Linked DNA regions of Bombyx mori. The protein of the gene in region 2 binds, or shares a complex with, the protein of the main gene of each other region. Links are inferred from orthologs where the notes say so. Each region holds a gene or a part of one and is shown on either strand. Other genes may lie near its edges. The genes, in order: regulator of gene activity, CCR4-NOT transcription complex subunit 1 and ATP-dependent RNA helicase me31b.

What was found.
Region 1: the proteins of CCR4-NOT transcription complex subunit 1 (region 2) and regulator of gene activity are in contact, whole or in part, in a crystal structure (PDB 5FU7), measured with the Homo sapiens proteins. The link is inferred for Bombyx mori from reciprocal best matches to the Homo sapiens genes CNOT1 and CNOT2. Residues at the interface, in NP_057368.3 of Homo sapiens: His1864, Ser1865, Ala1866, Ala1867, Arg1870, Asp1871, Gln1917, Pro1921, Ala1923, Pro1925, Ala2003, Tyr2036, Leu2039, Glu2040, Ser2043, Arg2045, Ile2048, Ala2049, Ala2053, His2054, Leu2079, Leu2084, Lys2086, Gln2089, Ile2090, Leu2091, Tyr2092, Lys2093, Gly2094, Leu2096; in NP_001186231.1 of Homo sapiens: Met350, Val351, Asp353, Gln354, Phe355, Gly356, Met357, Ile358, Gly359, Leu360, Leu361, Phe363, Ile364, Arg365, Gly372, Met373, Val374, Leu376, Ala377, Leu378, Gly379, Ser380, Asp381, Leu382, Leu385, Leu387, Asn388, Leu389, Ser391, Glu393.
Region 3: the proteins of CCR4-NOT transcription complex subunit 1 (region 2) and ATP-dependent RNA helicase me31b are in contact, whole or in part, in a crystal structure (PDB 4CRW), measured with the Homo sapiens proteins. The link is inferred for Bombyx mori from reciprocal best matches to the Homo sapiens genes CNOT1 and DDX6. Residues at the interface, in NP_057368.3 of Homo sapiens: Glu1097, Ala1100, Phe1101, Phe1103, Asn1104, Asn1105, Leu1106, Ser1107, Ser1109, Asn1110, Lys1114, Lys1137, Arg1138, Ile1141, Glu1142, Asn1144, Phe1145, Leu1148, Tyr1149; in NP_001244120.1 of Homo sapiens: Phe329, Ser330, Arg331, Leu332, Gln333, Ile334, Asn335, Gln336, Leu357, Gly358, Tyr359, Ser360, Leu384, Arg386, Asn387, Ala402.

Annotation. Positions count from the first base shown.
Region 1 is NC_085113.1:7,420,740-7,424,581, reverse strand, and holds the start of regulator of gene activity, read left to right. Parts: upstream 1-1,607; 5' UTR 1,608-1,966; coding exon 1,967-2,017; intron 2,018-3,842. UniProt on the Homo sapiens protein: Component of the CCR4-NOT complex which is one of the major cellular mRNA deadenylases and is linked to various cellular processes including bulk mRNA degradation, miRNA-mediated repression, translational repression during translational initiation and general transcription regulation.
Region 2 is NC_085107.1:17,968,335-17,972,076, reverse strand, and holds part of CCR4-NOT transcription complex subunit 1, read left to right. Parts: intron 1-1,318; coding exon 1,319-1,540; intron 1,541-1,613; coding exon 1,614-1,797; intron 1,798-1,863; coding exon 1,864-3,742.
Region 3 is NC_085118.1:10,829,589-10,832,169, forward strand, and holds the end of ATP-dependent RNA helicase me31b, read left to right. Parts: coding exon 1-414; 3' UTR 415-2,081; downstream 2,082-2,581.

The DNA.
Region 1 (3,842 bases), on a different chromosome or scaffold from region 2:
CTTCTGAAGTTCAACCTGCTTCTCCTTCTTTTCATAGTATTCCATAATCTTGAGACGTTGCTGCTGGACAAGACGGCCCTTTTCGATGTTGAACTCCTCCTCGGCCTTCGCATCGATTTCTTCGGCCTTTTCGTTGGCCTCTTGTTCGATGAAGGCCATCATGTGCTTGATCTGAATTGAAAAATATAAACATTCTGATCAAAAATACGGAGTATAATGCTCAAAAACATGAAGTCCAGTCGAGGCAGTCTTATGAGTTGTCGAAATTACAATGGCACATCCCGATCAATGATCGTGACATATAATCCTTAAAATACTTGATTTTGTAGATAAATCAGTTTTGTTTATAACAAATACCTGTTTCTGAACATCTGCATCGCTGAGCGCCATGGCTGCTGCTTATTTTTAACACCACTAACACGAAAAACGGCCGATATAGAGCCAGAAAATTAATGACTGGCTCGGGGAAAGAAGTCTACGCCTATCAGACGTGCTTCTTTATTGAACAATCATATGATCTTAGTGTTGCCAAAAAGTATTGATCAGACATAGACAATTTTTTCTGAAATATTCAGAATATGAATCAATATATACATCTCGATCCTTCTTTGCTCGATGTCGGTAAGTGAAAAGGATATAAGAACTAGGTCGGCAGAGGCCGTATTCTGGTCGCTAGTCATAAAGCACGCAGAAAAACTTTTTGATTTTGTTCTATTTATGTAAATAAGATATAATAAACTTTTTTTAGCTATTATAAAATTTTTGGAATCAGATAGCGTTCCCATGTTTGCCGCCAGAGGCACTGTTTCCACTACATACAAATTTGAGATCTTTTACGCAATTGAGAAGTTAAAAAACTTGCACTAAGCACACCGAAGGACCGTCTTCTGACCGTTGTCGAAACTTTGTTAAATCTGCAATAACAGCAATGTGCACCCGATCCTTAAATATTTTCGTTAATGTTTTGAAATGAAATCCACAATTTAACTGCTGTTGTAAATTGTGAATTTGAACTAGGTAAAATGTATTTTTAACGATTTTCTACCCATCTGTACCAACGCCAGTGGTGGGCGAGCTCACAGACCTCTACCTGAAAGAAATTGTTAACACTGCTCTGGCTTCGCTGAATCTACTACCAGTTAAGAATCAAGATTCAATGAGAAACTCAGTGAGTGTCATAGGGGTTCAGTACTCTCAGTTAAGCTTCGATTTTACGACGCTAGTGGAGGGTACTTGAGACTGGGTTGAAGAAGGCCGAAGGCCTGGATCGAATAAGGCAACGACGATTGTTCGTTGTCATCATATAGGTCGGGAATGTAATTTACGGCGGCTACGATAAGAGGGCTATTACGCCGTGCAGCTTCCTCAAAGAAAGGTTCTGATGTTCTCTTCAAATATTAACGAATCGCTTCTAAATCCAAGTATTCGTGAAGATCTGAATCTTATACACCGTATACATTTTCCTTGTTTAAAATTTTCATTTTCTAATGTAAGATTTAGAAAAGGACGAAGAATCAAATATTTGCTATATATACCTAGTTAAATTTCATTAGATTGTAGTCTACGTAATGTGTGCGTAGATTGCTTTCAGACGCCATCCAATCTGCCGGAAATGTTGTATTCACAGTGATACAGAAAACACCTCAGGGAAGATAATAGATGTCTGACTCGAACTCGTTTTCAGTTATGTTTAAAATATTTTTTGGTTGGGTTTTATTATAATGAGACCGTCCGATCCATTCATCTGTTCACCTATCGGAATCATTAGGAAAGATGAATGATCCACCAAGCTTCCGGCACTTTGCAGGAATAGTTTAGTTTTAGACAAGGGAGGTGGGTAGTTTATAATTTTCAAATAATGGTTGTGAAGTTTAGATTATTTAAAAAATAAGGCTTTAAGTTAAAAAATAATTGTTTTAATCCTAATTTAGAGATTTTTTAAAGTAATTCTGAACAAAGATAAGAAATGAAGAAACGAAGTTCTACGAGGCACAGTAGCCAAACTCATGAAGATCAGGTTTGCTACTTATAGTTATGCTGTAGAGTCTTATAAAACTCTCAAATACACGTTTAAGCACAGTATTATGTACAGTATTACAGGTTTATGTACAGTAACGATGCTACGGATTGCACTAGTATGGGTAGTATAGTAATGTAAATTAAATAATTTTATTGTAAATTCTTAAAAATATTAGTATAAATTTTAAATGACAGATCTATAATAAAGAGACAAAACGATTTATACTATTTAAACTATTTAATAAAATTGTCAAAACTATTTTTATTTTTTAACAAACTAATTCATACGGCCTGGTTTTGAAGCTTTTTGATAATTTCCGTCTGCTTCTTCAACCTTTTAACAATATGGCCGCCTGTTGTTTAGGGTAATGTGGCGTTCAGCGAAATCGTATGAAAATTTTAAAACATTTATCAGTGACGTAAAGATGTATCAAGTTTACAGTGTTTTATAGCAGCGTTTTACGCGAAGACAGTTTTATGTACCATTTATATTGGTGTTTAAAATTTTGAATGCACAAAAAACATCAAAATTGGACAGTCAACAAATCTTGTTTATTACATCGAAGCGGAAATATTTATCTTGGCAGAGTATACGCGATTATGAACCATTCTTATTCTTTATAAAATAGTTGAACAAGGACTGATAATAGGTAAATATTGACAACGTTCTCAAAGTGAGCCCAACAACATCACAACAAAAATTGTCGCCATTGTTTGACAGGGGCAACTAAGCCATTTACTGATCTTTAATACATTCTCCATATCCTCTCTACTGTATAATATGCTCAACTGAAAACAGTTTTGTGATGCTCTTCAACTATCATCTCTCTCATACGTCATGCATACACTTAACCAAAGTTTAAATTAATAATAAGCAGCATGCAATTCCATATATAGTTAAGTATTCCTTCTACTTTCTCTTTCACATTTCCAACTACTTTACAACCGATTACTCCATGATTTAAATATTAGTTTTATTTATATTATATATTTATAGCCCATATTCCATAGAGTTGAGTCACACAAAATTGATCTCTTTTGTCTCAAACTTGATAACAAATTTTCTGATTTACAACAAACATTGTATTCAGAGGTTCTGCACATATTGGCACAGAATTTAACTGCTTTTCCGTTTAATATAACCATTGTGTCAACATACTGTAATTACTTGTGCAAAATACTTAAATTGTGAAAATTATTCTTATAAATGAACTCTAAAATCACAATACGAACCAGATACTGATAATGTAAGAGCAATAAAAATTATATCTGCTTATAAAATTGGAACACGATTTAAATATTTGAAATTGTAAATGAAATAGGCATGAATCTGAATAAATTTTATTCTACATCAACTTCGTCTCACACTTCCTTGACAATACCTCTGTAAAATTATTAAATATGTCCACTACATGATTATAGTCCATTGTGTGTAGTCATTTATCTATTATATATTATTAAGAGGAACTTTTACCAAGTAGATGGGTATTTTTGCTTAAGAAACGTTTTATGTTTTAGATCAAAACTAAATTAAATCTAAGCATTCACTAGGCACAAGTCAGGTTTCCGGTAAATGTAGCATAAAGATGTTATCCTTTTCCCCTACCTATGCTGATAGCCTTGAGAGGCTAGCAGAGGGAGATATTTCAGCTTCCACTGAGAAGATCCAACTAGAAACTCAGTGGGCTGTGTTTATTGGTTAATTTACTCGTTGAGCCCTTCGCCACAAGCAGTGGGTTGTGCAGGTTCAGAGAGGACGGTGGCCGGTGCTTAAGGTACCTAAAAGCACCGTTTATAGATCGGGAGATCCGTAATGACGTGCT
Region 2 (3,742 bases):
AAAATCCACAGATAATGTTTCTGGACACTTTCCAATCATTCCTTGTATATGTATTTCATCATATAGATTCCACAAAATATAGCAAGATTCCACAGAACTGCATATGAGTGTTATAAATTGTTTTTTTAGTATGTATTTAGTTTATTAAATTCACAAAAATTATGAAATGTTAATCCCAATGTTTTATTTTAGAGCCCTTTCTGGTACATAATAATTTCAATATGAGTGCTGAATTACAGTTTACTATCAATGGACACACCCAGATCCTTAATAGAACTTACCTCAAATAGTGGTGCACCATTAAGTAATATGATATGTTCAGGGAGTGTAATGAATAGTGAGACGAATTGTGTGGCACATACACATACCATTTGCACGCACCACAAAAACAAACTGTCTAAGTAACACAGTGATAATTCGCAGTCGATCTGTATCGATAGTTGGTTTTCTGATAGTATTGACGCCATTTAAGTGAAATTAATAAATTTGTTTTTCCATTTGCTGTAAAATTGAGTAAACAACTTTATTGGTAGAATTTATGTATGTGTGTATGTATGTATGTATGTATGTATGTATTGTATTTTGTACTACTGTTATGTCAAGTAATATAATAGTTCATAGTAATTTGGTGAGAGATAAGTTGGTAGTTCAATAATGACTTCGTAGATTTGCAAAGGGCATAATTGCTAATATCGGCAAAGAACAAAATGCATTAACTTACATGCTTGCTATAGGACTATTGTGTAGGAAGTGTTCATTCAATTTAATCTCATATTCACATTTGCTGGGGGACTGTCAATTTTAATAAAGCCTAACAAGTCAATGTATTGCCAACCAGAGGTTATCAGCTTATTGTACATTTAGCTTTATGCACCAATTTATGAAATCATTGAAGTTGATGTATGGTGAGAGATGAGAAATCTATCAATTGAAACTGTTGAAAGTATGGATGAATAAATAAAGAATTTTTCTTTGTTTAATAATTCTGAAGTTCTTATGTGTCTTTTAAATACATTATTCTAAATTATGGCACACAATATTACTATTGAATTTTGCTAAAAATATATGGAGATGTGTGCCAAAATGGTGTTTGATGAGTCTTATAACTGTCATTTTCTTGGCAATAGTAGTAGGAACAAGAATTACCTAGTAAAAGATTTTTTCAATTTCCATTTTAATTAATTACATATACATATGAAGCTTAATAAAACTGATGTTTGTGTTGTGAATCAAATTTAGGAATATACTTTATACTATTTCATTGACTACAAGCATTCTCTTTGGTTTGATCTTAAATTAAGTACTTTTGTTGCTGCAGATTGTCAGTGTCTATGGCTTGGAAGCAGAGAATCAAGTTTTAAGATGTCTTCTCACTGAAGCGGCAAGGATAGCTTGGGACGGAGACCGTACAACTTCTGCAGCTACTAATAGCATCCACGCCTCCCTTCTTGGACAACAGTTGGCAGGCTTGCTCAATCATCCAGCTAAATCAACAGTTGTTTGCCGGGCTGTTGATCATCCAACACGCTCTGTAACAAAGGTCAGTCTGTTAACCCTTAACTCAGAAATAGGAAAAATGTGATGTGATTTTATTCTTAAATTTTATTTTTTAGCTATTAAAGCCTACAAATGCACTATTGAATCGACTATCTAGACTGTTGAAGTTAACTACAGCAGAGGATGTTGCCTTTTCATTGGCTCTGAGAAGGTATTCAACAAAGAGTGAGATAGTTGCAGTTGCAAAGCAGCACTTGAAGAAAAGATTCTTGGATTTAATACAGTGCTATCTCGACGCAGGCAAGCTTTATTTCTATTGTTTTTTTAAAGTTTTGAAGTAAATATTTAATTATATGTGCTTTACAGAACGGGGACATCAGGCGGAGCGTGCAGGACTTCAGGAATGCAGCCCTGAAGTGTTGCAGTCACTCCTCACGAGTCTCGCGCTCGACAATATCAAATTAGCGGCAGTTACGAAGGATTTGTTTTTGAAGAGACTGAGATCAGACTTCCCTCGTGAAGTAGTCCCGATAGTACTCGCACCGTTGATTTATCCGGACGACACTCAGACACCTCTCGAGGAAATGACTTCAGCCGATGATATGGCTGCTGCCATGATGGAGAATTCCCTGCCAGATATTATCCGAGATATGGGCCATGCTTTTACAACTTCAGTTGAGGATTGCAAGAACAATATGATAAACTTTGGTGCGAGAGAACCAACCGCAATAGACGTGGCTAGAATCATAGCTGTGATGGTTCGCTATCACAGTAACCAACAAGACGGTCCGCAAATACAGACACCAGGCAACTTTTGGATGAGTCATGAAGCTAAAAAAGAACCAGCTGCACATCCACACAGTGAATGGAATGCTGAAGTATTTGTTCAGACATTAAAAGAATTAGCATCTAATCTGAACTGGAAGGAAGTGATACTACAGCTGGATCACCCAGAATTCTTTGTACCAGACCGAACAGGACTATCCCTACTATTCACCATACTGAGACTTGGTCTACAGAGCGCCGGCTATCCGGCCAATATATTCCCCGTTGAGTATTTATGCCGACGGTGGACGAATTTGGAAGGACAGATGAGTTTGATCAGCCACATTCTCAAACATTCTGACGTATTCTGTTTTGCCGATCATCCTTTTCATCCAGTATCAATAGACATTTTGAAATCTCCTCCTGAGACCGACAACAAAGAAGTGGGCACTTGGCGTTGCCTCTACTTAGTGGAGTTACTGCTGTATGCTGCAGAGCGTGGTTATTACATGCAAGTCCATGAACTCTTTAAAATGCCACTTCAACATTGTCCCGATATTTTGCTCTTAGTTTTACTGCAAATCAGTCCACCGATTACTGTCTTTAGGCAAGAGTTATTGACGACACTGATTCCAATATTTCTAGGTAATCATCCAAATTCAGGCATAATTCTCCACCACGCCTGGCATACACAGAACCCTAACATAAAACCTATCATCATGCACTCAATGGCAGATTGGTACATACGCGGTGAGAGTGACCAATCCAAATTATCTAGAATTTTGGACGTCGCACAGGATTTAAAGGCGCTGTCGCTCTTATTGAATGTACAATCGTTCCCGTTTGTTATTGATTTGGCTTGTTTGGCGTCTAGGAGGGAGTATCTCAAATTAGATAAATGGTTGACCGACAAAATCAGAGATCACGGTGAGACGTTTGTGTCGGCTATGGTGAAATTTTTACAAAGGCGATGTCCACAGGTGCTCGGCAAGGCACCCGAAGAACAATTGCCTAAGGCTGCGCAGCTGCCACCCGAAACGATTACAACAATGTTGGCTTGCTTACAACTATGCATTCCAAATGTTTCTCAAGAATTACAGGAGGCTATTTACAACGTAATAGGAAGCTGTCAGACGTTAATACTCAGCAAAACACGACAAAACATTGCGGGAATAGCAAGACCTCATACAAGGGTCATGGAAACTCAATTCAATCCAGCTGGCCTAGGAGGGCAATTGTTTACACCCCACGTTGACGCTATCGGTAATTTGGCACCGGGCATGGCAAATATGACTTTAGGTGCCCCCGCGAATACTGCATTTGCTATGCCCGGTACACTCGGACCACTCGTAACCACTCCGGGCTCTCCTGTTAGGCTACTTGGAGGCGGACCTAACAGTCCGTTTGCCATGATGCCGTTACCGCCCAACGCAAACCTCGGAGCGCTCGCGAGAATGGCTCCCGCTCCCGCGATTGATAA
Region 3 (2,581 bases), on a different chromosome or scaffold from region 2:
CAAAGGGTGGAGTTGTTAGCCAAGAAGATAACAGAGTTAGGATATTGTTGCTACTACATCCACGCACGAATGGCACAAGCTCATCGTAATCGTGTGTTTCACGACTTTCGTGCTGGGCTCTGCCGTAACTTAGTGTGTTCAGACTTGTTCACTAGAGGTATTGATGTGCAAGCAGTTAATGTCGTTATCAATTTTGATTTTCCTCGAATGGCAGAGACATATCTTCATCGCATAGGACGCTCTGGACGTTTTGGGCACCTTGGTATTGCTATAAACTTAATCACATATGATGATCGTTTTGCACTACATCGTATCGAACAAGAACTGGGTACTGAAATCAAGCCAATTCCCAAAGTGATAGATCCTGCGCTATATGTAGCGCGTCCGGAAGATGAAGATCTGGGCGACAAGTAACGCCGTGCCGTCTGCGCCGCGTTGATACGTTCGCGCTCTGCGCACGCTTCTAATATCTGGACTTGCTGACTTGTGAATGAAAACAGTTTAACTACAAAAAACTTATTTGTAAAAAGTGAAATGAATTTAATGTAACAAAAAATGTGCGTGTGAATGTAGTTTATCGTGAAATAAGACTTTGACCTCAAAATGGTCACTTTTTTAGTGTACATAAACGTAACATCAAATTTAAGGAAGTATCTTGATGCTTTTTGTTCGTGTTGGACAATGTGCGTTAAGCCACAGAAATAAAAAGAAAATGTTTGTTTTCTGGTAAAGTCTACCTAAATTTGTCCATGATCTCTTCATAAATTGTGGTAGACTTTCATAAATGTATATTATAAATGTCTATCCGTAAAAACATGAAGTTTGAGCCAGCACCGGATTAATTTTTTTTTACAAAAAAAATACACGTTTGGTTACGGATAGGCAATGTAAGTCTGGCTGAAACATCAGAAATTTGGTGGAATTAGAAAAAAAACAGTGTAAAAAAATGTTGTTTCTGACCGCTTGAAACAATGTTAAATAACTTCAAGCCGTTTTCCATGAAAAATGTCATGAAGCAGCTTCAGTTTGATAAACTAATTATTCAGAAGGGTTGCTGTGTTGGTCAAACTGAATGTCTGTTGCAGGCTAACTTTGTGTCCGGTTAGAGTCAAGAACAGCTATTTTAAATATTATTTCGAAAGCGGCTTACATAGTCACAGTAGATGTATGGCATTTGATGTTGATGGGCTAAAGTAATTGAATCGAGAGAATCAAGTTATTCAAACCAATAAGTAAAATGAAAAACTAATAAATAACAATCAAGTTCTACAAAGCCCAACAAAACGAATCTGCCTTTACAAACAAGTAAATATTTTACATTCCTTGAATAATTTGAAATCTGTGACTATTTTAACGAGATTGGGGAATGCACTATTCTGTGACGGCTTGCAGATATATGGTATTCTCCACTCTATTTGGGGGTTATTATTTTGAGAGCTTTCAGTTGTCATTACAATGAAACAAATGTTTTGCTCTCTGGGGATTAAACTTTTCGGGATGTCAAGTGAAGAGTTAAATTTGGTCAGAAAATGGTATCACAACTAAAATTCGGATATATCTTTATTTGAAAAAAAAAGGGTACATACAGTATTTGATTTGGATTATTATTCTTAGTCAATTTTAAATGCACTTAAATGTGAAGTAACAGTATGTACACAGTTTGTTACAATTTGATTGATTGTAATGCAGTGCTTAAAACTTAATGAAAATTCATTGTTGCTGAAAATTATCTGTGATAGAAATTATAAGGTAAAATATGTATGTTCATTGAAATAATCAGAATGGTTTGTGACGTCTTCCGCCTGTAACTGTAACACTATAAGTTAGCAGACTGAAGTTTTAGTGTAGTAACTAACATAATACAATAGAATTCACTGACTAAAGTTATGTTTCGCTTCAGCTTTCTGTTGATATTTTGAAAAGTAAATTTCTGTAAATGTTTATGGAAAAAATGCAGCATATCAATTAGTTCAAGTTGTTATTATTAAAATAAAACCTCACAAGATATATTAAACATATATTATATATATACACAAAAAAGTGATAAAATTGTTGACCAAAAAATAAAACTCTTCACGCCATTGTTCTCTTTTATTAAATATTATATTTTTCCTATTTGCAAGAAGTCCAAGACGCCCTGGAAACGGTCAATACACATATTGTACAAGTTAACAGCTTAAAATTCTTAAAACATTTTTTTATAATTAAATGAATTTCGTACAATTTGGGATTTATAATGTATTAGTAGTTTTATAATAATTTTACTCGGGGTTTCGCTCATATTATAGTCAGAAATAATCTATTATTAATAGACCTCCACAAGGTTATCAATTTATCCCGTCTTTTTTCTGTAGAACTGTGTGCTTAATGCGAGTTTTTTAAAGTTCTAGATAGCGTTAAAGCTAACTCAAATTTGTACCCAGTTGGAACAGCGCCCCTAGCAGCAAACGTTCCAACTCCATACAAATTTCAGTTAACTTTTACGCTAAAAAACGTTAAAAAACTCACTAAGAAGACGTGTATGTTCTCGAGTTTTTATCGCTAATTTGCTTTTCACGTGTGGTGACAAACATTGAAGAAA